2 linked regions of the Tamandua tetradactyla genome follow. The main gene of each other region encodes a partner of the protein of the gene in region 2 in a complex. Links are inferred from orthologs where the notes say so. Each region holds a gene or a part of one and is shown on either strand. Other genes may lie near its edges.

Evidence for each region.
Region 1: the proteins of CENPA (region 2) and HJURP are in contact, whole or in part, in a crystal structure (PDB 3R45), measured with the Homo sapiens proteins. The link is inferred for Tamandua tetradactyla from reciprocal best matches to the Homo sapiens genes CENPA and HJURP. Residues at the interface, in NP_001800.1 of Homo sapiens: Lys64, Leu65, Ser68, Arg69, Arg72, Asp83, Phe84, Asn85, Trp86, Gln87, Ala88, Gln89, Leu91, Leu92, Ala93, Glu96, Ala97, Ala100, Phe101, His104, Glu107, Asp108, Leu111, Leu112, Leu114, His115, Ile132, Glu136; in NP_060880.3 of Homo sapiens: Glu14, Asp15, Leu18, Lys21, Leu22, Ser25, Arg26, Arg28, Phe29, Arg32, Met33, Leu36, Lys39, Tyr40, Pro43, Phe44, Thr47, Pro48, Val49, Val50, Gln51, Met52, Ala53, Thr54, Leu55, Ile65, Trp66, Gly67.

Annotation. Positions count from the first base shown.
Region 1 is NC_135329.1:210,909,205-210,924,239, reverse strand, and holds the start of HJURP (Holliday junction recognition protein), read left to right. Parts: upstream 1-7,051; 5' UTR 7,052-7,174; coding exon 7,175-7,270; exon of another isoform or gene 7,271-7,419; intron 7,420-7,467; coding exon 7,468-7,534; intron 7,535-10,127; coding exon 10,128-10,183; intron 10,184-13,562; coding exon 13,563-13,620; intron 13,621-15,035. Other genes in the region: TRPM8 (transient receptor potential cation channel subfamily M member 8), read right to left, coding at 6,890-6,941. UniProt on the Homo sapiens protein: Centromeric protein that plays a central role in the incorporation and maintenance of histone H3-like variant CENPA at centromeres.
Region 2 is NC_135329.1:10,542,723-10,557,757, reverse strand, and holds the start of CENPA (histone H3-like centromeric protein A), read right to left. Parts: upstream 9,946-15,035; coding exon 9,852-9,945; intron 2,879-9,851; coding exon 2,769-2,878; intron 2,409-2,768; coding exon 2,331-2,408; intron 1,669-2,330; coding exon 1,534-1,668; 3' UTR 1,512-1,533; exon of another isoform or gene 760-1,511; 3' UTR 1-759. UniProt on the Homo sapiens protein: Histone H3-like nucleosomal protein that is specifically found in centromeric nucleosomes. Replaces conventional H3 in the nucleosome core of centromeric chromatin that serves as an assembly site for the inner kinetochore.

The sequences.
Region 1 (15,035 bases), about 200 Mb from region 2:
GTCACAAGTCTTACCAATGAACCATCACCCAGAAGCAACTGGATGGTTACATAGGTAGGATGCCCTGTATTTGAGAAACCATGGAGGAGAAAAGAAACACAGTATTTCAAACAGCGCTTCTTTTCTGGGGTTTGACTCACACCTCATGGAAAGGTAACTTCTTGCCATCAGTTTCAAAGACATTGTTTGCATCATCCCTGGAGCAACAAAAGAAAGGGAAACTTTTACATGGTAGCTTAATGGGTGGGACCTGCTGTTCAGGGTTAATCCATCTAAGTTGTTTTCATCATTTCTATTTTAATGCTAGGACCAGCCCAAATCTATGTTTCTCCAATTACAGACTGATGGTAATATTTCCACACCTTTCCAACACAAAATTATTTACATGGCAGTCCATGTTTTATTTAAAGAAAAATTCTGGTACATTTCATGAGAGTAGCCATTTTTTCCTATGCAATAATTTTACACAGCACTTTGAGGGTAGAAATTCTGACAGAACCAGCAGAGGGGGCTATGCAGCAGAGCCAGAGGTGGAGACCCCCACCCCCACCCAGCCCCCAGCCACTTCTGCAGTAGGGGAGGAGCTGACTGGAGACCTTTTCCTGTTACATGGGAGTAGGGGGTGGCAGGGAGAGAGTGCATAGCAGGTCTGGGTTCCTGAGGTCCCATGTTTAGGCTGTTGAGAGTGGGATTTATAGGAGTATCATGCGGGACTCCTCCTTCCTTAGCTGGGCCACCACTTTGTACCATGGGATGGAGAAGCCAGTCAGAGAGGAGTAAGGGGTCAGCAGGCCAGACACAAGGACCAATGCACAGCTGAGGTTGACTCAGGAGGGGATGGGCCAAACCAGGTGTGTTGGGGGTCTTCTGTTAAAGATTTGAAAGGACTTGAGTTTGAGAAGGTTCTCCTTGGAAGCTGCCCATGAGCATCTGGGACAGAGGCAGATTTCTCAAATTGTCAGTTAAGCCAGCAATGGAAACCCTGGAACCATAGGAGTGGTTTCCTAGGAGTAAAGGACGAGTCCCAGGAAAGTTTTGAAATCTGGCACCATCACATTTGTAGAATGTCATGGAAGAGAAGGTTGTTTGGGACTTAGAAGAAAAAGAAAACCTTACCCAAGTTCTCAAGTCTAAACGTGGCAAGTTAAATGTTTGAAAACTGAACTATGTGTAGAAACAGAGTTGGAAGGAAACACGTTAAATTTCTGAACCATCCCAAAGAGAAAGGAGGAAGAAACCTCAGCTTGTGTATAAAAATTGGAAATGCTATAAACTGAACGTATAGATTCAGTGGCTGCATACAGCAGGTCCTTAATATGGGTTGGATTCTCTAGGGAGGAAATTCTTAGACATAGAGTTTTATGTGCAGAATGCTTATGAGGGGGTACCCTTTGGATTAACCCCTGTGGAAGGGACGGGACAGAAACAGGACTGGACAGATGCAGGCCAAGCAACTGCATGGGCCAATTCCACAGAGAGCTCTGGAGCTACAATGACCCTTCAGGGTAATCCCCATCATATCTAAATGTCCCAGTTTTATGTTCCCACCTTGACTGCTCATTAGATGTAGGCCAATGGAATGAACGTCTGTGTAGCTGAAGCCATCTCTGAAGAGGCTGCAGCTGAAGGTGTCTGCTGACAGTGTCTCCAGCAGCTGAGGAATCTTATGGGGTTATCTGGGGCAGTCCATCTCTTCGTCCCTCTCAATACATTTTGTAGACACTGATTTTCCTCTCACCCCACGTTTTCCCAAGATTTCTGTATGATAGAGTTGAGGTGCAGGCTAAGAGGGGGTGAAGAGCTCCAACTATGTCACTTCTGGTTCTCAAAGTTATGCTTTTATTTTTTTAACCACATAACCATGATAAGCACACAAATAAGGCTGATGGAAGTCTGACTTGCTAAACTCAGAACAGATGTTAAAAGACAGAGGCATAGCAAGGACAAGGGGCACCTTGCATCAGTTGTGCCCTTTATCTTTATGTGCTCTCTACAGCTCTCTACTCCAGTCTGGTACTTGAGTACTAGTAGCCCTCTGCCCCCTTTGCTGTGCTCTGAAGAAAGGAGACCACTTCTGTCAATCTGTTTGCTTTTTTCCAAGTGGTAAATATTACTAATAACTGGTTGAATGCTACCTAGTTCTTCTCCACTTCTGGAGACATAGAGGATTATGCTTCCCTGACCTCTTGAAGTTTAGCACATCCAATTACCTTGTTCTGGTCAATGCAATGGGAGCAGGAGCGATAGATGCCTTGTCCCTATGGAAGCCTCTGAGTGTCAGAGGATGACTCTACATGCTCTTTCTTTGCTACACTGACTGTGGAAGCTTGGGATGATATGGAGGGGCCAGAAGATCACAGAAGCCAAGAGAGGAGAAAAGACACCCTGAAGAGTCATCTGGACTTCCAGTGGATTTTACATGAACAAGAAATAAACCCTCATTCTTTTAAGCCAAAATTTTTTGAATGTTTGTTATTGCAGCATGACCTAGATAATTCTGACTAAAACATCCCCAGATATTTGTGTCCCCCACACCATCCCAATCCCCCCCATGTTAGAAAATAATTACTAAGGGCTCTTTGACTCTTGTAAGCCTAGCTACAGAGGACTGCGTCATTTCCACGAAGGCACTTAATTCAGATAGAGGTTAGAATGACAGAAACAAGTGTTTCTGACCTACACAGGACTTGTCAGTGCCTTCTCACTATCCCCAAAGTTAGTCTCATTGCTTTCTAATTGTCTGAGACTCTAATGGGGGATTATGATGATCTTGAGAAACCTCACCCTTGAAGCTGTCCATGAGTTTCCCACAAGATTCTTCCAGGAGGCTCCCACAGGGAGATCAAACCTATCTGGAGCTCCCATATCCTGGCACCACTACATAAGCTAATATAACTAAGAAAACTGTGTCATATATCTTCTCCCATGCCAAGAAGGTAAACTGGTAATTCCCCTTTGCTGAGGATATTATTTAATCTTTGAACAGACGTAGTCTTAAGCAGTCACTTGTATTGCTCAGCTGTTATCAGAAAAGGTTCAGCTTTAAGCAACCATGGGTTTACACAAACATGGAGTAAGATGAATGTTAGTAAGGTATTAACTGTGAAAGGGATACAGCAGACCGTCCAAAAATTAAAATAAACAACCCCACAAATCTTCTACCTTCTCCCTAGGAGAGGATGCAAAGACCTCAGTTTCAGTTTCCAGTTCTAGTTATTTCCTCTACATTATTATACAACAACCTACTTTTATTTTTTAATGACCAATTTAAAAAACCAAACTTGTAACTTAGCTCCCCCCATGAAGAAATCAGAAACACCTTCTTTACTCTTCTACCAACAGTTTAACTGTTGTTTATTGCCAATCGATTTTTTAAAACTTTGTAGCATTTCTTTCAAGAATTGCAGCAACGTTATTCTGCTCAACAAGGTAATAACAGTTATTAACACTCAATTCTATGTTTAACTACATTCAATTTTACCTGATAATCTTTTTGTACCACCATTTTTGAGCTCTTAATTTTGATCCAATTTTATGGATTATGTCTACAAGTAAATTTTTCAAGAAAGGTTTCTAAGTGCTTTAATTCCTGAGTCTTTATATATTTAGGAATTTTTTCCTATTGCTTTTACTCGAGTGATGTTCTGTATGGATAAAAATTCCTGTATCACATCCTATTTCTCTCACATCTCCATTAATATCCATCCACTGACATCCTTGGGTTCTTGACAAAAAAACTAGCTGACTTTTTTCATATAGGCGCTGTGCTTTCTCTACCTGGATCCTTATGGTTAAAAAAAGAAAAATGTAATCCTTAAGGTTGATCTGCTTCATCAAGCTATATCTTGGTCTTGATTTGTTCTCTACTGATTTTCCTGGTACGGTAAACCTTTTAGATGCCCAGATTAAAGTCTTCTTCTATTTCAGACAAATTCTCTTCTATAATTTTTTAAATATCTATTTTTCTTTTTTTTTTTCAGCAACTGTGCTAGTTTGAAACTATGTACCCCAGAAAAATCATGGCCTTCTAATCCAATCTTGTGGGGGCAGAACTATTGTTGGGTGGGACCCTTTGACTAGGTTATTTCCGTAGAGATGTGATCCCACCCATTCAAGGTGGGTCTCAATCCACTTACTGGAGTTCTTTAAGAGAGAGACATTGTGGAGAAAGCTGAGACAGAACGTTCTAGGTGATGCTAAGCAAGAACCCACAGAACCTGAAGGACCCAGAACCTGGAGAGAGCTGAGAGAATCTAAGAGATGAAATCTAAAGATTGCTCCAGACAAGCTAAGAGAGGACCCCCATGGACACTTAGAAAAACGACCTGGAGACGCTAAGAAAAGACCCGCAGGACGCAGAAAGCCACTGGAATCAAAAGCTGAAAGCAACGAACTAGGAGCAAGGACCAGCAGGTTCCAGTCACATGCCTTCCCAGCTGACAGAGGTGTTTCAGAGGCCAGCGGCCTTTCTTCAGAGTTCAGGTATCATCTTGTTGATGCCTTAAATTCAGACACTTCATGACCTTAGAAGTAGAAATCTGTAATGTAATAAAGCCTCTTTGTAAAAGCCAATCCATTTCTGGTATATTGCATTCCAGTAGCTTTAGCAAACCGGAACACTTAGCTTCCAAATACATCCTCTTTTTTCTCTTTTCACTTTTTAACTTTGCTCTTTTCCATTGTGATTCTCTTGTGATTTTCTCAACCCTCTCATTAACACTCCTGTATCTGTTTTTCAGCTGTAATAATCTTCTGTACCTGATGTGCCTTTCATTTCTATTCTTCCAACCCCTTTCTTTCCTCAGGTCTTGCAATTCACTCACACCATTCTGTTATCACATTAGCTCTGCTTTGAGCTCTGGCATTCTGTTTCTTCTAAAAATACCTCGTTTCCTAGAATTATTAGGCTTCCAAAGCATATTCCTCATCAGCCTCCCCTCCTCTACTTCTCTTCTTATCCTTCTTTTGTAGTGAATTTGTGTTTTATGCTGTTTACTGTCTCATCTTGATCAGAGGAAGAGAAGTACAGTTCTATTCAAGCCGATTCTCACTCCTGCTATTGGGCTCCTCAGTCCAGTAGTACAGATAACCTAATAGTCCCAGGAGCTCATTTGTAGCCAACAAACAAGCTCCCACAACCTTAGTGACTGAGGTTCCCCTTCTCCCAGCCCCCAATGGAGCAGCCAGAGGGCAGGGCAAGAGCCCAGAAGCAGAGGGTCAGCAGACAAGAGGTCCTCAATGCATGGGCAACTTGAAAGAGGACAGTCTCTGGGCCAGGTACCTGGGATCAATTACCAGGTGAACATCCACACAGGAGGATTTAAGGATTTAAGTTATAAGGCTGGGGTCATCTTCACTGCCTTATTATAGTGAAAATGGGTACATTCTGAATGGCCATTAAAAAGGATCAGTTAAGTAAACCATGGTACCACCAAACAGTGAAATAACATAGATGATTTAGACCTATATGTATTGTCATTTGAAATACACTAATGGTATATAAGTAAAAGACAATTTACATAAGAACACAGACACTTGCATTTATATATATCTATACATCTACATATATGTCTATTGACATACATGTACATATTCTATATGTCAAAATGTGTTTATATAAGCATAGTAAAATGTTGAACCAATCTTAACAAAGTGATGTCTCAGGCATGAGACTAGAGGGGGGATTATGGATTTTTACTTCCTGTTTTTAATTTCTTTACATTGGACATGTATTATCAGAAAAGAACCACCAGGACATTTCCATTTTAAAAAGAAAGAATGAAAAAGATGATTCTGGCAGCAGAGGACACACTAGAGAAGGGAGATCAGAGGCAGGGCAGAGCCGATTTATCATGGAGCTAGTGAAAGTGGTTCCTTCCTGCACAGCCCCTACAGAGACTGGGGACACACAATCCTTAACTACCATAAAATTTGCAAAAGGGTATTTTAGCCACAGTTGGGACCAGTTTCTCTCCCCTTGCCCTCCCTTATTCCTCTTTGTCACACCTCCCTCCCACTAGGTGGAGTAGCTGACAGCAGTTTTGCCAGCCAGAAAAGAATACAGAGGTGGGAATATACTGGGTTTTGTAGGATATGTTTACATTTTAAAAAGTCATTTTGCATGTGGTTACTATAGTTCTTGGCTACTAAGACTGTGCAGAAAAGGCTTCCAGGAAGAGCGTGCCTTCTACTAGGGCAGCTCTTCAAAGTCAACAACTCAAATACTGTTTGAGATAAAACACTGCAGAAGTTAATCTGAAATTCTACAAAAATCTTATACCACACATATGAAAGAAAATTGAGTCTTTCCCATCCTTGAGAACAGGCCTAAAAATCTACCCGACATTTCCAATGAGCTATTACGCTGAATAAAACTTTCCTAAAATGTCAGTGATAAAAAATAAATTTCCAGTAACCATACTGGAGGAAACACTGAATTATCTATTGTCTAGAGATTTTGTTACCTGAGCAATCTCGCATGAAGAAGCAGTAGTAAATGCAGTTTAAAAATAAAAATAAAATAAATGGGTGTTCAGGAAATTCTTAATGAAGATACTCTTTTCCGGACTCTATCGTGTCCGTGGCATTTGGCATTTGTAAACGTGCAATGTGTTGGGGTTTCTTTTCTGACTCTAAGTGACTATTCACTTCCTGCCTCCTTTCAAATTCGTAACTTAGTCTATCTAGCTTTTCTTAGACCCCTCCCACCTCCAGCCGCGCCAGGCCCGAGGCGGGGGCAGGAGGAAGCCCGCCCAGGGCGGGGGTCTGGGGTGACGGAGGACGAGGGGCCACGGTCAAACCAGCCGCCTGACATGTCCAAGCTGCAATTTTCTCACATGTCCAACGTTTGAAAGGACCGGATTTCACAGGATTCTCGCGCGGAACTAACCGTTAAACGGCCCGGAAGCGACCGGAAGAGCGACCCGGGATTCTCCCGTCATCCAACGCGCGCCTCGGGGACGGCGGGACCCGGAGACCCGAGCGCAGATTGGCTGGGAAACAGGGACGTAAACAGGTTTGAAAGAACCAATCAGCTCCCCGCAACACAACGCCAGCCAATAGAAAGCCCGAAGGGCGGCCGGTGGGGGTGCGTAGCGGCTTCTTTGAGCTGAGGGCTGAGAGGGGGGCGCTCGGTCGGGTAGGCGTTGGAATCGAGGTGATACCGGCGGGCGCCATGGAGGACGAGGCTCAAGAGGAGGCCATGCTCGTGGGGAAGCTCCGGGACAGCCGCCGCCGCTTCCAGAGGCGCATGCAGCAGCTGCTAGAGAAGGTGCGGCGGGCCGCGGGGAGGGGTGGGTCCCGCGAGGTGGGAGCTGGGCGAGAGTCGGCGCTGAGTGTCGCGGTTGTCGGAGGGGGTCGGGAATGGGGACCCCAGACTTCCGGCTTTGAGCTGACTCCTCCTCGGCCGGAGTCAGGGACTCCTCGCGACCACCGGATCTTGACGCGACGCCCTTTCCTCCCCCGTAGTACAACCGGCCCTTCGAGGACGCCCCGCTGGTGCAGATGGCCACGCTGACCTACGAGACGCCCCAGGGTACGAGGTCCCCCCTTTGAGTGGTGCTTTCATACAGTCTGAAATGCCCTCCGTGCCCTCTTAGGAAAACAAACTCGTAAATGAGGTATTTCCAACAGTTTCTGAAGACGAGTAGATGCATCTTGGTTCAGAATGACCCTGCCTGGGCTGGCATCCTAGGCATGCCAGCTCGGCCCCGTTGCTTGGTCTGCCTCTGTCTCATTGTCTTTGTCTGTAAGATGGGGAGAATGATGACAGTAATTTCAACCCGGTGTGGTGGTGTAAGTGTGATTTACAGTGTTTGTGACTCTCTTAGAACAGTACCTGGTAATAGTAAATTGTCAGTCGAATGTTATTTGCCCTGTTTGACTTGGAGTGTTACCTAGAGTCCTTGAGGGTCTACTTGAGAATTAATCTGAATGTAGAGAAAGCCTTTCCATTAAATGGTTAGTGTTGCAAACTAGCCTAAACCAGTCGGATCACCTGCTAGTCATGGATTCTTCTCGGTAAATAGCTGGAGAAAGTTCACGGTGGCTGAGCTAAGTTCCTCCCATACCGCCTTACATCAGAATCGCTACTAATTATAATGAAAGCAGATCTAGATCAAATTCTGCCTGGCTTAAACAAGCAAGCAAAAACCAGTTCATTGCTCCTGTTTGTTAAATAAGGTCTTAGCTCTGTGTCATTTAGGCTGATCCCATAATACATGAACCTAACAAGAGGTGGAGACAGGTTTTTTCCCCTCTCCTGTCTGCATCAGGCCATGGGAAATCCAACCCAGAGGCGGGACACAGTAGCATAGGAATCGGTTGTGCAGTGCCGCTCCTAAGAGTGCAGACAACAGGCTGGGCTATGTTCTGGCCAGGAGGCCAGTGTCTAGAATGGTTTGGCCTCTCCACAGTTTTTTTGTTGGTTTGTTTGTTTTTTTATTGTGAAATATAACATATATACAAAAAAAGCAGTAAATTTCAAAGCACACTACAACGATTACTTATAGAACAGTTTTCAGAGTTTGTATGGGTTACAGTTCCACAATTTTAGGTTTCTTTTTCTGCCTGCTCTAAGACACTGAAGACTAAAAGAAGTATCAATATAATGTTTCAGTAGTCATATTTATTTGTTAAATCTTCTCTTCCCTATTATAACTCCTCCTTCTCCTTTGATTTTTCTCCCGATCTTTAGGGGCATTTGGGCTATGCCCATTCTAGCTTTTTCGTGTTGGAAAGAGCCGTTGATAATGTGGGATAGGGCGATGGAACTAGTTGATATTCTTGGAGAGGCTGACCCCTTTGGGTTTCAGGACTTAACGTGGCTTAGGAATCCAACCCATCTGTACTCCGCAGGTCTTGAGGACCACTGATTTCACCAGTGAAAGCTCATTTCAGACTCCAGTTTGAACAGTTGAAGCACCTGAACACCTTGAGAGCGGTGCTTCTCCCACTTCAGCATGGAAAGTCAGATTGCTTGCTAAAACAGATTCCTGGGCCTCACTGCTGATCCAGTGGAGAACCCAAGAGACTTCACAAGCTCCTGGGGTCCCCTGACCTCATGCGGAGAGGCATTCAGTCAGGGAAGGGGCCTTTCTCCTGACCACCTTGTAGTGTGAATTCCTGGTTAAGACAACACCATAGGGTCTAGATTGAACCCCATCAATTACATTGAGGATAGCAGGGAGATAATCATCGTTCCTGTGTAGTGACAATTTACCATTTTGCTTGACACCCCTAAGAGTTTCCTATTTTGTATTGTCAACAACTCTACGAGGTAGTCTTAGAATCATCACCACTTAACAGGGAAAGATACAGCAGAAAGAGAAAGGTTAAATAACTTGTCCCGTATCACTTAGCCAAAGTGGCAAAGCCTCAATTTGAGTCAGAGCCCGTGTGCTCAGGCATTACTGTTCTGGAAAGGCCAGATGCCAGAGCAGCGGTCAGGAGCACAGAGTCTTACTGCCCATATTCATCTCTTGATTCTACCACATAGCAGGTGACTTTGGGCCAGGTATGCTTTTCCCTGCCTCTGGGTCTCCATCTATAGCATGAGCATGATAAGTCCCTATCATACAGGGCCTTAGAGGTATTGAATTGTATCTGTCACCAGCTTGACATGAATACTGAACAGGATCTGCCTGGAAAGTGCTAGAACAGGTCCTGCCACCTAGAAAGCACCATACAACCACAGCTGTGGTATTATCACTGACAGCCACCTCAAGCCGCTCAGTGCCATGATCCTTTCTTAGTTTGCCTTTGCCTAGTAGAAAATGTAGTTTTAAGGCAAGATGAAGTCCTTCACCCCTTTCTACCTACTATAAAGATTGTCCTCGATATATATGTATTTGAGGGCAGTACCTGGCTTGTGTATGTTCCTTGATTCCATTTAATTTGATGGCTCGATGATGTAATTTGATGAGTTGCTGTCTATGAGGTAGGAGAAGTTTTCTGTAATGACAAATGTTTGCCTAATCTTGATTTTTAAAAAAAGCCTTAACATCAAAGGTTTAATGGACTATATCAGAAGTCTGGCCTTTGCTTGGCCTGGGTTTCTTTGAATGCAGGTTTAGTAGAAACTCTGTCTTCAGATGACTAAAATGGTAATTTCTATTTCTTTTCTTAAGGATTGAGAATTTGGGGTGGAGGACTCATAAAGGAAATGAGCACAGCACAAATCCAGGTATTTAATGTCAAATTTTATTGCCAAAATGCCCTGCTGTGAAGGAGCAGGATGTGTCTGGGGATGGGTGGGCTGAGTCTCCTGCTGTGCAAAGACCAGCAGTTCACTGCCACCTCCAGTCGGCTTCATGGTATTCTCACCTTAAAGCTCTCCTGTTGGGTTCGCTTTCCAATCCATGTAACACCCCCCCACCCCCCCCCAAAAAAAGCCCTGTTTCAGGGATTTGCTGAGAAGCTTTTCTTCTGTTGCCTGTGAAATGGTTATAAAGCCTGTTCTAGTTTGCAAACTGCTGGAATGCAATATACCAGAAACAGAAGCTTTCAAGAAGGGAAATTTATTAATTTGCGAGTTTACAGTTCTAAGCTGTGAAAATGTCCAAATTAAGGCAGCAACATGAGGTTACCTTCACTCAGGAAAGGCCAATGAAGTTCAGAGTTTCTCTCTCAACTGGAAAGGCACATGGTGAACATGGTGATGTCTGCTAGCTTTCTCTCCAAGTTTCTTGTTTCTTGAAGCTCCCCCCGGGGGGTGTTTTCCTTCATCTCCAAAGGTGGGCCTTGTGGTTCTCTTGGCTCTCCTCTCTCATGGCTCAGTGGGTCTTGTGGTTCTCTAGCTTTTTCTAAGAAATGCTTCCTCTTTTAAAGGATTCCAGGAAACTAATCAAGACCAACCTGGAGTTGGTAGAGTCACAGCTCCCTCTAATCAAAGGTTAATACCCCTAATTGGGCAAGCCGCATCTCTGTGGAGATAATCTAATCAAGTTCCAACCTACTGTGCTGAACGGGGATTAAAAGAAACAGCTGATTCCACATAATGGATCAGGATACAAACAAGGCTTTTCTAGGGTACATAATCCTTTCAAACCGGTAGAGCCCTTTTGGTAACTTCTGTTTCCTCTGTCCTAGGTAGAAGGGCTCCCTCACAGCTGAATTGATTGGGTTATACTTGGAAAGGCTGGGAGTTCCCACTGGATAACCATCTCACCATTCCACTTTTCAGGTTTTACTTTGTTGGGTCTTCACAGAAAAGACCAAATCCAGTTCCTTCTAGGGAAGAAAAATTCCTTTCAGAGGTACTGAAAGGGAAAAAAAGACAGATTACAGGGAAAAGGTTCAGTGTATAGGATCATACTTTTTTTCTTTCTACATCTCTCCACCTTTCAGAAGACCTCTTTGTTTTCTTACCCTAATTCATCCAAGCACATTGCAGATGTGATCTCCTATTTTAATGAAATGTGCTGATGTAGTGTATAGTCCTGCTGTGAGACTGGGGAGTCTTTGAGGGGATAGTAACTTTGCCAGGATGTGTGGTGCTCTCTGAATCACTGCTTCTCAAGCACCACATACTCACCCTTCCACAGGTCAGGGACCTAGACCCAAGAATACAAACATCAAGACTAAGGTTACAGAGCAATTTATGACATATCCGAAACCAAATTTTCTTCTTAATTGTTTTAAAAGCACACATAATACAGTCAGTCATAGAAATTTTAGAAATACAGTAATTATAGTTAGCCTGACTTCTATCACACAGATGTAATCACTAGTGATATTTTAGTGTGATATGATTCTGTTTCTAATGTACATATTTATACATACATACATTTTGTTACCAATTTTCTACTTAATATATCGTGCACCCTTCATCTGCTGTATAATTCAACCACCATTTTCCTTAACTGCTTTCCTGTTAGGCATGTAAGTATTTGCCACCTTCCGTTATTATAAATCAAGGGTTGGCAAACTTTTTATGTAAAGGGCCAGATAGTAAATATTTTAGCTCTATAATCTCTGTCACAACTACTCAAACTCTACCCTTGCAGGGAAAGCAGCCACAGATAATGAGTAAGTGAATGGGTATGGCTGCATTCAATAAAACTTTATTTACAAAGCCCTTGTCATAAATAGTCTTCATAGAAACACCCTGGTCCTTGTCACTTCCCAGTAGCAATATCACCCCTTTCCAGTTAATATCAGGAAATGGGATTATTATGTCAAAGGTTTTGTTCTCTTTAAATATGACACATAATACGATGCCTACGAACCAAGCCATATTTGGATGGTCCTGATGGAAAAATGTTTTTATCTTGAGATTTGTTTAAGAGTTTTATTAAGTGTTGGTAGACCCCTGCCTGAGGTCTAAAAATTTTCAAGACCCTTTCTTGATATTAGAAATCTGGGCATAGACTTGAATTACAATTTGGATATCTACAGCCTCACTGAAATTACCATTGCTGACCACCCATATCTGCCTTAACCTTTTCCTAAATAAATCCCAATACTGCCCCTGTTGCTTGCTGCCTTTGAGGCTGTAAGAGGCAAAAAGAATGTGGCAGGCTGGGAATACCCTAAGCCAATTTGGTCGAACAGTTCTTGGGTTCTCTGTGTATGACACAGAGGATTGGCTGCTTCGTTGTAATTGTAAAGCCCAATTCTGCCACACATTCAGGCCCTGACAGCCAGAAGGTGTTGACGCCCTGTTCTGTAAACTCATGAAACCCCACCTGTCTGTTGTCATAGGTGATCCAGCCCTACTTTATGTGAGTTAAACTCGAGGTGAAGGTGGCATTGTTCCAGAGACAGAAGTCAGCTTCCAGCTAGTGCTCTTGGGGTGGCCAGAAATCACCCGGGCCAGACCCAAGCAAGGGATCCTGATGGATGAAGCCTCAGTCTATCTCTGGAGCAGGCCACAACATGTTCTCACTCTCCTATTTAATTGCAAGGATAGAATAATTTCTAAAATCTCGAAGCCAATCTGAGAACCCATTGGTGATGTTCATTAAGATGACCTGTGAGGCTTCTGGTTTAGCAGAAGCATGGCCTCCACAAGGGTGTGGCCAGATGGCCACCCTGCCCTGTGAGCTGCTCAGCAAGACAACCCATCCCCAAGGGGCAGCTGGGGTCCAACACCTCCCACGGGAAGAGAATAGTAGGTTTCATGACACCATAATGAATGTTGCACTGTACTAAGATCAGTGTCTCAGGAGGACAGGGAGCCTTGCATTATTTCTGATGATCTAGTGACAATTTTCTTCCATTTCATTTTGGCTTTTTGTTTGCCACAGTTCTTGCCAAACCACACACTTTGCAGCATTAGGCTTGCCTTGAGTGCAGAGGTTCTGACATCTGAGCCTTTGCTTCTCACTTGCCCTGCTCGCTCACTCATTAAGAAAGCTGTCTTTTGTCCAAGTGAAGCTCAACTACCTGATAGAATTTTTGTTGAGGCCTCTTAGAATAGAACATATGAGAAGAGAAGCCTTGTGAAACGTCTGTTCTCATATGTTAATGAAACAATTGTAGGCATATTACTTTATAGTGGCTTTGTAAAGTTTTCAGTGTTCTTACTGAAAACAAGCATGTCTTCATTTCTGCATTTTGAGGAATTCGTTGTGGAGCCAGTTGACAGGATGCATGGCCCAGTGCAAGCCACAGGCAAAGGTCAGTGTGCATCCCTCACACAGTGTATGGATCCTGGGAGGGAGGGACGGAGGGAGAGAGAGTGTGAGTACACGCATGCATGCATGCAGTTGTGTGTGAAGCTTGCTATAAAATGAGGTCACAGGGGGCATCACTTTACTTTTACTTTACTTACCTGTGTGTAAGACTTGCACACAGGTCTCTGTTACAGCATCATAGCATTATTATCACTCTTTATTTTTTTTCTGAAGTATACTTTAAAAACTTTCTCTATCCCTGGAGGATAGAGAACCATGTCCTGCTCACAGTTGCATCTATGGTGCTTCATGTGTAAACGATACTCAGATATTTCTTGAATAAAAACCCCCATCCCTTTTAATTTTGGTAACAAAAAAAAAGTATCAAGTAATTAATAAATTTAAGTGCCCTTCATGAGTGGTGTCATGAATGCCAACTTTTACAGAAAGCCTGTAGCTGCTGCCATTCTCCCGTTTTTTCCCCTTGTTCTCCTGGAGGGCACCTTTCCCTTCCCTCAAGCCAGTTTGGTTGCAGACCCCTTCAAATCCATTGTTCTCAGGAATCCAGCCATCCCCCCCTCTCCTATCTTCACCCTTTCCCTCTACCCTGGCCACACACCATCAGCGTCTAAACATTTCCAGTCTGTTCCTGAATGTATAAAACATGATTTAAGAACTCCTTTCCCAGAGCCCTTTGTAGCTGTGTGCCTTTATTCACCCCCCTCCCTGCAACCAAATTTCCTAAAAATCACTCAGTATTTACTGTCTCCAGTTTTCTTCCTTGTGTGCTCCTCAGCTAGTTAGATCTTGCCTTAGCCCTGTCTCCCATGTGCAGCCTTTGGTGAAGTCCCTGGGACCAAGTTACTGAACCCAGCTGGCTTTCTTGTGTTATTCCTTTGTTGCCCACTTGCCCACTCACTAGCTTTTGAAACTCTTGAAACTCTTCACCTCGGGCCCAGTTTGCTCTTGGAGTTCTCCTTCCTCTCCATTCCTCTGGTAAAACTCTTCCCTCAACCCAGGCCTCTGTGTGTTCACTGCTCCGCAGGCTTTGCTGGATGCACCTAATATATCTAAACAAGACCTGCTCTTGATTTTGTTTCCTCCTGCAGTAGAGGGCCTGTCTGCATTGTAAGCCAGAAATCCACAGTTCTCGTGGTCTCGGCACCTCCTCCATTCCTCCTCCAAAAGACGTCACGGTCTGTCATTTTGGCCTTGTAAATACTCTGAAGTGTAACCTGACCTACATGGCCACCCTCCTGTCTCCATCTGGGTTTCCCCAACCCCATTTCACCCACCACTCCCAGAGCACCCTTAAATATGTGCGTCTGATCACACAGTGTGATTTCCCGTTGCTCTTAGGATAGAAGGCCGGAGCCCAAAACATGGCCAGCAAGCCCGGGTGGCTACCTGCTGTCTCTG
Region 2 (15,035 bases):
TGTATTCCATGGACAAATATGCTTTATTTTGATATTTGCATAAATATGAGTTGATGTGGAAAAATAACAGGTTTCTTTAAAGGGTTAAAATTTCTTCAGTCAAAAACAGTACTCGTGTCTGAATTCAGCTAACTGACACATTATAAGTAGTAGTATCCATCACTAATCACTTTTAGCACAGACAAAATCTAAAATCTTTGGGTGGCATTTCTCATTTCTCAAATCTTTTAAACTGCTTCCAGATGCAATAAGGCAAAGTTTTTTTCTGTTCATATTCACTCCATTGGAGGCACAAACATTCCTCAATTTTTTTGTTAAATTTGAAAAGGTAATATACAAATATAGAACTTAATGTTAGCACATACTAAAAAAGTATAATCTGTGTATACTCTAAGAATCCATTTTAAGTTTTTTAATTAAAAATTATTTCTATTATCTCTCCAGTTATAAAAAATTCCAAAGTATAAATTATTATGCATCTTGATTTAAAAGTAAGAACAAAATGTTAAATTCTACAGGCTAGAATTTCTGAATAACATTGATAGCCATTCAGTGGAAGGAACTAGAATATTAAACCCCAAATATTTTGTATTTCAACCCCAATTAAGTTTTTGAAAAGCTATAAATTTGTTGACAGGTACAGTCCACTCAAAAATTTGATGTCCATAAAGGTGAGATTAATCTGGTGGATGGAGATTTACATACCAGACATGCTGGACCCTTCCATGCAACTCAGTGGTTGTCTCTTAATTTTTTCCCCTACGATTTAAATAAAATGAAATATACACATGGTAAAAATTCTAAGCAGTACAAAAAACTCTATAACAACAAGAAAATGTCCTTTTCTCCATTAACAAGCAAATTTGATGTCTTCAAAATAATTATAACAGTCATACAAATAATTTGTAACTGAAGTCAACCTTGGAGTCTCTTATCTGAAGATAACTCAGGTGTCATTGGAATTGTGTTGATTGTTTCATATATTACTTCTGTTACAGTGGAAAGCCATGCAATCTTCAGTCTTCTTTAAAAAAAAAAAAGGGCAAAGCAACATAGCAGAACACACATACTGCCTGGCGATAGGAACTCTAGGCAGCACTCAGCTCCATGGATCTGCTCATCGCTACAGGGAGGGTCTTTGAAATTTTACTAACATATTTACTAACAAGGCATTTTCACAAGGTTAAGAAAAAGTTCTCTTAAAATGAGATCATTTGGTCCTTATAAAATGGAAAGCTTAACTCTGTCAGAGATTCAGTTCGTCTGGTCATTACTTAGCAGAAAAATATCTTTATTTAACATTGGACAAAAGGCCTTAGCCATCATGACCCACGCATAAATTTAAAAATAGGTCCAACCTTTGCTAAAGAACAGAGGGAAGGCAAAACAACCAGGGACTAAGGATGGAGAAGGAAAATTCCTTCTGAGAAACTCTATCTCCAGTGATGAGAAGCTAGGTATTTTTCCTCCAAAACAAACACTTGCTCTCTGGGTGAGCAGGAAAGGCTTACAAGAGACACTGGCTGCAGGAGCTCAGCCAAGTCCAGCTTCAATTCCTCGGATCCTTCTGGCCAGTTGCACATCCTTCGGGAAAAGGGTGACACGGCCAGCATGTAAAGAGAGGAGATAGGCGTCCTCAAAGAGATGAACTAGAAAAGTTTCTGCTGCCTGAGGGCAGAAAGAGAAACAAAAACACTGACAAACAAGGGGGCATGGGCTGTGTCATGGTTAGGTTCATGTGTCACTTGGCCAGGTGGTGGTACCTGTTTGTCTGGTCAGGCAAGCGCTCCCTGTCTTTTGCTATTTTATAGAATTAAATCATGACCACATCAGCTACATCCACAGGTGACTCCATTTGTAATCAGCCAAAGGGGAGTGCCTTCTGCAATGAGTGATGCTTAATCTAATCACTGGAAGCCTTTTAAGGAGGATTCAGAAGAGACAAGCTCTCTTTCTGCTTTGGCCAGCGAGCCTCTCCTGTGTTCATTCAGATCCTCCATCGAACTGTCAGCTTCACAGCCTGCCCTACAGATTTTGGACTCTTCGGTCCCAGGTTACGTGAGACACTATTATAAATTTTATATTTACGAATATTTCCTGTTGATTCTGTTTCTCTAGAGAACCCTAATTAATACAGGCTGCTTCTTCTCTTAGAGACCTGTCAATGTAGCCCCCCAACCCTGAGGTGTTACTTTATTGCTGTTTCCAAGGAGGCAAGATTCAGTATGTGACACTCCACAAGTGCTAAGCGCTGGTAGGCAAGTGGAACTGAAGAACTCTTTTTCCTCCCATACGCACCCTCACCCACCTGTACCGTGACCACTTCTTACCTCTTGTAGGGCCAACAGAGCCTGGCCTTGCCAGTTCAAGTCCACACCGCGAGAGAATATAGTACATATTTCTCTTACCTATGAAGGAGTGGGAATTTCCATTATTCCTGGCCCTTAATCTTAGGTCCTAACTCAGTAGCAGGTGATGACTCTTAGGACCTTAGCAGCTACCATATCTCTCATTGGTGGTGGGGAGGAAAATGAGAGGTAATCTCCCTGGGTAGGGAAAAGGATCAAAGGGTGAATGGATTAGAGGAATCCTATGTATATAATGAAAGAACCCTGTCTCAAAGGCCCTTGGAGAAGCTATCTTTCAAAGACAGAGTCCCCTCAAGCTAAAGAAGGGGTCCCAGAGCCATGTAAGAAGAGAAGGCTGGTTCCCCAAAGCCTGGGAAACATAAAGGACGGCAGCATGGGGGTTGGTGGGACGCTCCTCACCAGAAGGCTGAAGGGCCGCTTCCTTATCAACAGTTCTGTGCTCTTCTGAAGCTTCTGGATCTCCTTCAGAATCCGATGTCTCCGCACACCACGCGGACGGGAGGAAGTGCCTGAGCAAAGGAAAACGTTGTATCATAAAGGTAAAGTGCAGTGGAAAACAAGTGGTGCCTCACAACACAGCTGAGAGGGCAATTTCAACACTAGACAGTAATACATTCCACAACAGCAGGGATTTTTGTCTGTTTTATTCACTTCCATTATCTTCAGCACCTAGGCAATCGCAGATAGATGAATGAATGAACAAATGTCCTTTGAGGTTTAACTCATGTATCAATTCTTCCAGAAAGTCTTCCCTGAATCCTGATCTCTTCCAAAGTGATGGGTCACCTCCCTCCCTCAAGGCTCTGGGCCCCAAAAGTACCTTGTGCATTGCTTATATCTTACCCACTTACATTAGAAAAACACTTATTTTATTTTGTCTTTTCTTTTTTTTTAAGAGCTGTAATGTAATCCCCTTGACTTGGTTATTCATGGCCTACAGAGGTGAAGATAGTTGGCCAGGACTCTGGTGGCTAAGTTGGGACCTCACAAAGATGATAGCTCAGTGAGAGCCATGTGGGCTAGATGGCTCCAATCCCAGTTCCAACCAAAAGGAAAAAGTCTTAAAAACACTCCCAAAAGTAGTAATCATAAAAGCCAAATTCTCTGCTCAAACTATACTGAAACTAAAAATCACAAACCCAAGAATAGAAAAACCAAAATTCTCCTGAATTTCTCTTGGGTTAAAGAGGAATCCCATCTGAAATTAAGATAATTTAGAAATGAACAATAAAAAGGCTTCATCTTAAAAAGCACAGCTAAGAAGTAGTACTACAAGGAAAAGTATAGCCTTAAAATGTCTATTAGAAGATAAATGGAAACTCCTCAAAATTGAATATTTCAGTGCTACAAAGTACATTGTCAAAAGAGTGAAAAGGCAGCTGATTCAACGGGAGAAAATATTTGGAAGCCACATGTCTGTAAGGGTTTGATATCCAGAATATATAAAGAAATCCCACAACTCAACAATAAAAAGACAAACAACCCAATTAAAAAAACAGACAAAAGATATGAATAGACACGTTTCCCAAAGAAATACAGATGGCTAAAAAGCATGTGAAAAGATGCTCAGCTTCACTAGCTATTAGAGAAATACAAATGAAAACCACAATGAGATATCATCTCACACATACTAGAATGGCTACCATTAAACAAACAGGAAAGTACAAGTGTTGAGAGGATATGGAGAAACAAGAACACTCATTCACTGCTGATGGGAATGTAAAATGGTACAGCCACTATGGACGATAGTTTGGCAGTTCGTCAGGAAGCAAAAGAGTTGCCTTATGACCCAGCAATCTGCTATTTGAGATATACCCAGAAGATCTGAAAGCAGGGGCACAAACAGACATTTGCACACCGATGTTCAGAGCAGCATTATTCACAATTGCCAAAAGATGGAAACAATCCAAGTGTCCATCAACAGATGAATGGATAAACAAAATGTGGTAAATACATGTGATGGATATTATTCAGCAGTAAGAAGGAATGAAGTCCTGAAGCATGTAACAACATGGATGAACCTTGAGGATATTATAGTAAGTGAAATAAGTCCGACACAAAAGGACAAATATTTTATGATCATATTTTGAGATCATATTTTATGATCTCACTGATATGAACTAATTATAATATGTAAACTCGTATATTTAAAATATAGAATCTAACCTAAAATATAGGTTACCAGGATATAGAATAATTATAATATGTAAACTCATATATTTAAAATATAGAATCTAACCTAAAATATAGGTTACCAGGATATAGAATAAAGCTAAAGAATGGGGAGCAGGGTGGGCCACGGTGGCTCAGCAGGTAAGAATGCTTGCCTGCCATGCCTGAGGACCCGGGTCCGATTCCCGGTGCCTGCCCATGTAAAAAAAAAAGTAAAAAAAAAAAGAATGGGGAACAGTTGCTTGATATGTGTAGAATGTTTAACTAAGTTGAACTTCAAATGTTCGGAAAGGATAGAGGTGACAGTAGCACATTATTGTGAGAATAATCAACAGTACTGAATGGTGTGTGAATGTGATGGAAAGGGGAAGTTTAGAGTTATGTATGTCACCAGAAGGAAAGTTGGAAGTTAAAACATGGAAATGTATAACACAGTGTATCTTGTGGTGGACAATGTCTGTGATTAACTGTACAAATATAAAAAAGTTCTTTCATCAACTAGAACAAATGTACAACACTACTACAAGGAGTTAATAATAGAGGGGTATATGGGAAAAGCATTACAAACTATGGACTATAGTTAACAGTAATACTTTAATATTCTTTCATCAACAGTAATAAATGTACCATACCAATATTTTATGGGTCAATAATATGGGCAGGGGGGAAGGGGTTTGGGAGGATTTGGGTTTTTTTATTTTTATTTTTCTGGAGCAATGAAAAAGTTTTGAATTTGATCATGGGGATGTATGCACAACTATGTGATGATACTGTGAGCCAGCAATTGTATACTTTGGATGGTTTGAATGGTATGTGAATATATCTCAATAAAATTGCACTTAAAAAAGTCTATTATAAAACATAAATATTAAAAGATATATGAGGTAAGCATTCAAGTGTTACAAAGAGAATACTAAAACAAATGGTAGAGCAAAGAAATATTAAAGATAATATATTAATGAAAAAGGGTAAAACAAAATCCTATAGTTGCTCAATAAATAAAACCAAGGACCCATAAAATGGACAAACCTTTAAGTTAAAGAATAAAAAAAAAGAAAAAAACATACAGAAACTAACACTGCGGAGGATAAAATGAACTTCAGAAATGTTATTTGAAGTCCAGCAAAGAAAAGAGAACCCATGCTGAGCAGTTCAATAGAAGGGACTTAATTAATAATAGAAGGAGCAAATGGGGGGAGGTGAGGCAATCCTGGGAGGATTTGTGCCCAGCAGCTGCCAGTGGAGACTTTATCCCTGGGTGGGAAGAGGAAATATAAGCCAAAGACACAGGGCAGTGTCCAGGATATGCCTGGTGACATTTAGGAGAAAGGAAAAAACCCATACCTAGGAGATACACTACTCACTCACTTGCTCCACTTCTCCCCTCCTCCCACACCCCCCCCATCACTAGAGGTCGCCTTTAGTAAAAAGAACAGTTGCAGAAAATGTAAAGATGAACACAACTAAAAACCAAACAATTAAAGAAAGCTCACACCATGAAAGAAAGGAAGTAAACTCAAGAAAGAAAATAAGCAAACCAGAAGAATGTGTTAAATAGAGTAAAGTGATAGACTTTGAGAGTAAATGAAACATCAGAGGGTAAGAGAAGATATGAAATCCATATGAAGCCAAGGGAACAGAATGTTTTAAGCAGAAAGTAGCCCATCGTGTTAAATGCTTGAGACATAGCAACGTGTCTATGGATTTGTCAACAAGGGAGTTGTTGGTGACCTTGACAAGAACCGTTTAAGTGGAGTAGAAGTGTAGAAGCAGTGTTTGGGGGGGGGGGGGAGTCAGAATGGTTGAAGGGTGACCAGGAAGTGAAGAAAGAAACAATGGGGATAGACTCAATGAGTTTTAATGAGCTATTAAAAAAAGGGTAGCTATGAAGCAAAGTAGAGAGAAATGAGGAATATGTGGGATCAAGGAAGCACTCCCGTCCTTTGCTTAATATCAGAAACATCAGAGCACATTTGTAGATTGACAGTATAAGGAGTTTGAATTTAATTCTGAGTGTAGGTGGAGCGGATTAACAGAAGGCCCTTGAGAAGGTGAAAGGAGGAAATGACAAAAGCCAAGGAGTAGCTTTTGAAATGAAAGGGGACATGTAGATTCTGTTATGAGAAGATGAGGAGAATTCAGTCTGAAGTCTTCTATTTTCCCAATGGAACATGAAACAAGGTCATCATGAGCTAAGAGTGTGAGGTGCAATGAACAATCCAAAAGGATATATAAAAAACAATCCCAGTTACAATATCATCTAAAAGAATAAAATATTTAGGAATAAATGTAACTAAGGATGTAAAAGATTCATACAGCGGGAACTAAAAAACAATGCTCAAAGAAATTAAAGACCTAAATAAATGGAAAGACATCCCAGGTTCAAGGATCGGAAGGCTTAATTTCACTAAGAAGTCAATATCATCAAAAATGTTTACAGATTCAATGCAATCCCAGAAATTCCAGAAGCCTTTTTTTTTTTTTTTTTTTTTTTGCAGAAATGGAAACATCAATCTTTAAATTCCTAAGGAAGGATAAGGGGTACCAAAAAGCCACAACCACCTTGAAAAAAGAAGAACAAAGTTGGAAGACTCACACGTCCTGATTTCAAAATGTATTGCAAAGCTATAGTGATCAAAATAGTGCGGTACTGGCGTAAAGACAGATATATGACCTAATGGAATAGAATCGAAAGTGTGGAAATAAAACCACAATCTATGGCCTACTGATTTTCAACAAAGGTGCCAAGTCCATTCAATTGGGAAAGAAGAAGGTCTTCAACAAATGGTGCTGGGCTGCCATGCCAGAGACCCAGGTTCGATTCCCAGTGCCTGCCCATGCAAACAAAACAAATGGTGCTGGGTAAACTGTTTATTCACGTGCAAAAGAATGAAAGTAGACCCCTACCTCACACCATATTTTAAAATTAGAACAAAACAGACCAACCTAAATGTAAGAGATAAATACACAAAACTCCCAGAAGAAAATATAGGGAAAAGTCTTCAGGACCTTGTATTAAGAAATGAATACTTCCATAGGACTCTAAAAGCATGACAAACAAGAAAAAACAGATAACTTAGATGAAAAACTTTTGTGCAAAGGACATTAACAAGAAAGTGAAGACAAGCTACAGAAAGAGGAAAAAATTGGAAATCATTTAACTAAGAAAAGTTTAATATCCAGGATACACAGAGAACTCCTACAACTCAACAACATAAAGAAAAACAACTTAATTTAAAAAATGGGCAAAGTGCCACCTCCCCTATGTGGGACATGACTCCCAGGGGGTATGTCTCCCTGGCAATATGGGACGGGACTCTGGGGATGAGATGGACCTGGCATCATGGGATTGAGAAAGCATTCTTGAGCAAAGGGGGAAGAGAAAAATGAGACAAAATAAAGTTTCAGTGGCTGAGAGATTTCAGAGTAAAGAGGTTATCCTGGAGATTATACTTACGCATTATATAGATATCCCTTTGTAATTTATGGTGTATTGGAGGGGCTGGAGGGAAGTACCTGAAACTGTTGAACTGTATTCCAGTAGCCCTGATTCTTAAGATGATTGTGGAACTATATAGCTTTTAAAGTATGCCTGTGTGATTGTAAAAACCCTGTGTCTGATGCTCCTGATATCCAGGGTATGAACAGATAAGTAAAAAACTAAGGACAAAAAATAAATAAATAATGGGGCCAGGTATAAAAGGTAAAAAAGTGGGTAGATTGAAATACTAGTGGTCAATGAGAGGGAGGAGTAAGGGGTATGGGATGTGTGAGTGTTTTCTTTTTATTTCTTTTTCTAGAGTGATGCAAATGTTCTAAAAAATGGTCTTGACGATGAATACACAACTATGTGATGATACTGTGTGCCACTGATTGTATACTTTGGATGGATTGTATGTGTGTTAAGATTTCTAAAAAAAAAAAAATGGGCAAAGAACTTGAATGGACATTTCTCCAAAGACATGCAAATGAAAGCTAAGCACCTAAAAAGATGTTAATCACCATTAGCCATTAGTGAAATGCAAATTAAAACCACAATGACATACTACTTCACACTTGCTAGGATGGATACTATTTTTTTTTTTTCAATAGCAAATGCAAGCATTGGTTGAGGATGTCAGGATGCTGAGAAACAGGAACCCTTGCACACTGGTGAGTATATAGCGGGGCGGCTGCTGTGGAAAACAGTTTGGCGGTTCTTTAGAAAGTTAAACAGCAAATCACCAAATGACCAGGCAATTCTTACTTGAATATACCCCAAATAACTGAAAACAGGGATTTGAATAGATATGTGTATGACAATGTTCATAGCAGTACTGCTCCCAATAACCAAAAGATGGAAGCAACCCTTGTGTTCATCAGATAAACAAAATGAGGTGTATACATAAAATGGGATATTATTCAGCTATAAAAAGGAATGAAGCAGAGAAGGTAGTGTTAAATAAATACTATGATAGCTGAATCATTATATTAACATTTCTTTTAGCCTCCAGTACTTTAGAGCAGCTAGAAGTAAAACCCTAAAATTGTGGAACTGTAATCCATACCAAACTCTGAAATCTGTCCTACAACTAATTGTTGCGATGTATTCTGAAATTTGTTGCTTTTATGTATATACGTCAAAGAAAAGGAGTATAACAGAGAACATAGGATTTAACAAATGAGTATGAGTGCTGAATCATTATGCTGATATTTCTGTTGGTCACCAGTGTTTTTGAGCAGCTGGAAGGAAAAACGAAAAATCGTGGAACTGTAACCCATATCAAACTTTAAAATCTGTTGCTTTTTTGTATATATATTTCACAATTAAAAAAAGTTAAAAAATATTTTAAACAATTACACACAAAAAAAGGAATGAAGTTCTGATACATGTCACAACATGGAGGAACCATGAAAATGTCACGTTGAGTGAAATAAACCAGATTTCGCTTACGTAAGATACCCAGAATAAGCAAATTCATACAGACGAACACATTTTTAAAAATCCTCAGTCTGCCGAACTAGCCGTGTTCGAGCTTCCTGGCCTGGGTGAGCCTCAGTTTATTTACTCTGTAAAACGGGGACACTATAAAGAGCTTAACTCCAGGCCTCGTTAGTGGCAGGCACTCAATAAAAAGTAGGAACAAGAGGAACTGTGGTCAGGGACCTAGTTTCCCAGGCCAGTCCCCGGCGCTTCCCAAGGCCCTCGCGGGCTTGGCTCCTGGCTGAGCCCCAAAGGATGCCGGGAGCCGGGGAAGGACGCTGGGTCCGCGTGGGGAGGGTCCGGTCGGTCTCCGCTCGACCCAGAGAGACGCGTCCCGTCCCGGTTACCTGAGGGGGTGGCCCGCCGCGGGGTGCCGGGGGTCGCACTCTCCCGGCGCCTCCGGGGGGTTTCCGGCTTGCGGCTCCGGCGGCGCGGGCCCATGGCGGAGGGGCCCCGGCGCCCGCCCCCGCGCCAGGCGTCCGGGCCCCCGCTCGCTCTCGGACTTCTGGGGCGAAGGGAGAGTTTCTGGGGGAGGCCCGGAGAGCAGCCCGGCCGCGCGCCCTGGAAGAACCCGCAGTGAAGGAAAGGTAGCGCAGTGGTCGCGTTCCAACAGCCAGCACCGCGCGCGTCGTTTAAAACTCACAGCCGGCGGCTCCTATTGGCTACCTCGGGAATGCCCACGGCGCAGAGCGACTGCGGAGAGGACCAATGAGAGCCTAGGCGGACGGGGCGGGCCGACGGTGCAACCCGCCAGTGGGCACTCGAAGAAGTGAGAAGAGGCGGGGGTTGTGCTACCCTCAGCTCGTTGGTGGCTGTGCTGCGATGCACGCTTGTAAAACCGGAAGCGCGATTCTCAAGATGTAGGTGATACGTTCGTAGCAGTGTTTCTCTGTATATAAATCAAACATTTATGTTTTGCCCTATCACTCTCGCGAGGTGGCATTTAAAGATGAAACAGACCTATTAAGAGAACGTAACAGCCCCATGTCGCGCCTGTGACCCTCCCGGTACATCCCACAAGTATGTGTGAACTTGACTGATCCTTGGGGCCGCGGGGACCGCCAGGTTATCGGGCGCCTGTGCTGTGAAGGCCAGGCAGGGCAGGCCTCGCCCCAGGGCTTGGATCTCACTTTCCACGTTGCAGTAGGATAGTCCCAAGGAAGTGATCCCATCCTGGCCTGGTGGGGATAATACGAATTTAGTTCATATGTCTGGGTAGTTAAAGGGGATTTTAAGTTTCTACACTTTGTGTTCTTGGATTTTCTGAATGTTCTATAGTGAACGTGTAACATTTCAGAAGGGTTAGTTAAGAAATCAGTAATTTCAATTTAGCCCTTTTGCAGATCTGTGAGAAAGGTCCTAGGCATGATCTTTTTGGGGGTGCGGGGAGTGGGGGATGGGGGATTATGGTCCCTGAATAGAACCTGGGTCTCCCATGGAAGGCGAGCATTCGACCACCGAACCATGGGCATGGTCTTCTGAAGTCAAGGAAGTCAAGCCAGATTGGATGCTCCAGTCAGCTTTGCCCATAGGTGTGAGGACAAATAAGTGACCTTTCCCATGCCTCAGTTTGCTCATCTAGCAAATGGAGGTAATATGAGTCATCGAAAAGATAAATTGCATGAGAAAAATAATAAAAGCACTCAGCCAAAGGGCTGAGGTCCTGCTGCCAACCTCTGGTACAGGTTTGAATCATGATGGAAGGAAGAAGGAAGGGCAGTCGTTTGGTAACACTATTGTTAAGACAACTATGATGGATAAGACTCTCCTTGGAAACTCCTTGGTGGAGGGAGTTGGGTTGAGGGTATTTGGAGTCTTCCTCAAGAATGTGGAGTGGAATCATAGGGAATGGGTGAGATGTGAAAAGGTGGTGATGAGGGAAAGAGAAATGTGGTGTCAAGCAGAGGTCACAGCCTGAGAAGAGGTGAAATACGACAAGTGATTTGGAGAACAGAGGTTGTCATGTGTGAGTGGATGTTGGTGATGGGGAATTATTGACCTCCTCCTCAGAAGATGACATAGAATGGAGAGTGAAGCTAGAGCTTGTGTGATTTTACAAAGGTGACAGCACTTTGTTGAGCTACAGGCTATATGCATATATATATATATATGTATATATATATTTTTTATACGCGGGCAGGCACCGGGAATTGAACCCGGGTCCTCTGGCATGGCAGGCAAGCATTCTTGCCTGCTGAGCCACCGTGGCCTGCCCTGTATTTTTTTTTTTAAGTGAGGTTGTTAAACTGTAATATTCCTTAATTCCATGACTTCACAATTCTCTAACAGAAGGAGTGGGAAAGGACATTAGGGATGTCAACCAAGAAATAGCAAACTAAGCTGCAAGATAACAAAAGGGTGTATTTGGGGTCTGTGTTGGTTTTGAAAGGATATATGTACCCTAGAAAAGCCATGTTTTAATCCTCATCCCATTTTGTAAAGGCAGCCATAGGTCATCTCCCTGGAGATGTGACTCAATCAAGAGTGGTTCTTAAGCTGGATTAGGTGGAGACATGTCTCCACCCATTCTAGGTGAGTCTTGATTACTTTACTGGAATCCTCTAAAAGAGGAAACATTTTGGAGAAAGCAGGAGGTTTGGAGAGAGCAGAGAGAACGACATAGCCACAAGAAGCAGAGAGTCCACCAGCCACCCGCCTTTGGAAATGAAGAAAGAAAACGCCTCCCGGGGAGCTTCTTGAAAGGAAGCCAGGAGAGAAAGCTAGCAGATGACGCGGTGTTCGCCACGTGCCCTTCCAGCTGAGAGAGAAACCCTGAACTTCATCAGCATTCTTGAATCAAGGAATCTTTCCCTGGATGCCTTAGATTGGACATTTCTAGAGACTTGCTTTAATTGGACATTTCCACAGCCTAAAAACTGTTAACTTGCAACTTATTAAATTCCCCCTTTTAAAAGCTATTCCATTTCTGTTTTATTGCCTTCCAGCAGCTAGCAAACTAGAACAGGGTCTTAGAATTCCAATTCAGGGAGCCCAGATTCAGGTAGCAACTCGAATTATGTTTCCTCTTGGTGCTTCCAGGCAAGGATTTTAAAGAAAAAGGAGATTACATAAATTGTTTGTGTTTGTGGATATTTGGGATGCTCCAGATGTCCCTCAGGTTAGATAGTTTACTGAGTTCTTTATCTTATGGTTTCTTTCTGGTGTCTGGATGTCCTTGGGGTTTTGAGGAACAGTATTACCTGAGGCTGTGCATACCTTGCCAATTTGTGATACCTGGTAGAGAGGTACATAAGAATAACTTCCAGAATGAACTCCCAACTCCATTTTAAATCTCTTAGCCATAATAACTTTATTTCGTTTTATTTCTTTTTTACAGGGGAAAATATAGAAAAGTCAGAAATTTAATTCTGACCTTTCTGATTCGGGTACAAGCTGTCCACTGACTGTGTGGGGTAAAATATTTCTCATTAGCCTAACCTAGCTCTGAACCCATTCCCCCCTCCTACCTCTCCCAATAGGAAGACAGATCACTGTAGAGAAGGACTAGGGACTGGTAATGTACTCATAAATCATAAGAGCCATCACACACAGCTGGTTGAAGTCTTTTGGCTAAGGGAAGTGGATTTTCACTGGCCATGTAAAAAGTTCTATCTAGAGCTGAACTGTCCAGTATGGTAGTCACAGGACACAGATGGATATTGAGCACTCAAAATGTGGTTAGTCTGAATTGAGATGTCTTGTAAAGTGTGAATACACACTGAGTTTGGAAGACACTGCAAAAAATATATAAAATACCATTTTTTATATTGCTTAAATGGTTAAATAAAAAGCTGTTGGAAATATTGGGTTAAATAAAATATGTTATTAAAATTAGTTTTATCTGTATCTCTTTACTTTTGTAATGTGGCTCATAGAAAATTTACAATCACAGAAGTGGTTCACATTATATTTCTCTTGGACAGCACTGAAATAGAAGGGATAACTTTTATCTGCACACTGAATTCAGTTTTTCATTATTCATTTAACAGACACCTGTTGAGCATCTTTTATGTGCTAGCTACTGCTATAAGGGTTGGAGCTAATTCAGCAAATGGGACATAAGCCCCCATAGTCCTACGTTCTGGTGGGAAGGAGAAAGACCACAATAAACAATGAATTAATAATGATCCTATTACAGACTGTGGTAAGTGCTAGTATGGAAATAAACATGGTGATTTAATAGGGTCACTTGGGGTGGGAGGTGGCAGCCTACTCTAGAGAGTTGGTCAGGACAAGCCTCTATGAAGGCCAGATTTAAACTGAAGCAGGAAGTACCAAAAAGAAGAGCTAGGAGAGCGGGAAGCTGTTCCAGGCAGAGGGAACCGAGTGCAAAGATTCTGAGGAAGGAGAGAGCTTGGCATATTCCGGGAAACTGAAAGGAATCCAGAGAGGGGAGAGTGGAAGTTTCGAATAGGGTTAGGACGCTGAGTTTTATTCTAAGTGCACTGAAAAACCACAAGGTGACTTTGGACACGGGAGCGACATGATTTCATTTACATGAGGGAAAAGGTTGTAGAGTTGACCCAGATTACTTCCGCTTTGAAGATCCTTGGGGGGAGTCAGCCAACAGGAAAGCTGCAGCTAGGATTATAAATGGAATCACGTTCAGATCTGACATATCCCTTGAAAACTCACACTATTCCAGGACTCATGCTGGGTGTTAGAAAGCTCTGGAAGGGCAAGGCTAGTTCTTGTCTCTTCAGCTTTCCCAGCATCCACCCTGTGTCTCATCCCTGTTAAATGCTCATCAACTATTAGAGTAGATGAAAGATGAAGTGAATTGCGGATCATCTCATTATGAGGCCAGTCCCCATTCTGGATTAGATTATTTTCTTACTTTGTCTTTGTGTGCAAGTATTAGTCTTTGGCAGGGATTCTTACCACAACCTGCCTGTTTTCCTGGGTCCAGACATCCAAGGGGAGGGAAAACACAAGGAGAAAAAAAGAGAGAAAGAAAGAGAAATATGGTTAGTTTAGGATTTTGTACCAATCAGTGAACAAGTTTTCTCAAGAGATTTTGTTAGAAATCCAAGATTTCATCGACTAAAAGGTACTTTAGTGCCACTTCTCCCATTAAGTTGAAAGGGCCTTGCTCTATCCAAGGATAAATATATGCATAGTTATCTATAAATAGAATACACACTGTGCTGGTTTGAATGTCCCCTAGAAAAGCCATGTTTTAATCAAAATCCCATTCCCTATTCAATACTGTATGTTTGAAACTGTAATCAGATCATCTCCCTGGATGATGTGATTTAGTCAAGAGTGGTTGTTAAACTGGATTAAGTGACGACATATCTCCACCCCTTTGGGTGGGTCTTGATAAGTTTCTGGAGTCCTATAAAAGAGGAAACATTTTGGAGAATGAAAGCGATTCAGAGAGAGCCAGAGAAGAATGACGAGAAGAGAAGCCGGAGAATGACATAGCCACAAGAGCCCACAAGCCAGCGACCTTTGGAGATGAAGAAGGAAAACACCTCCTGGGGAGCTTCATGAAACAGGAAGCCAGGAGAGAAAGCTAGCAGACAATG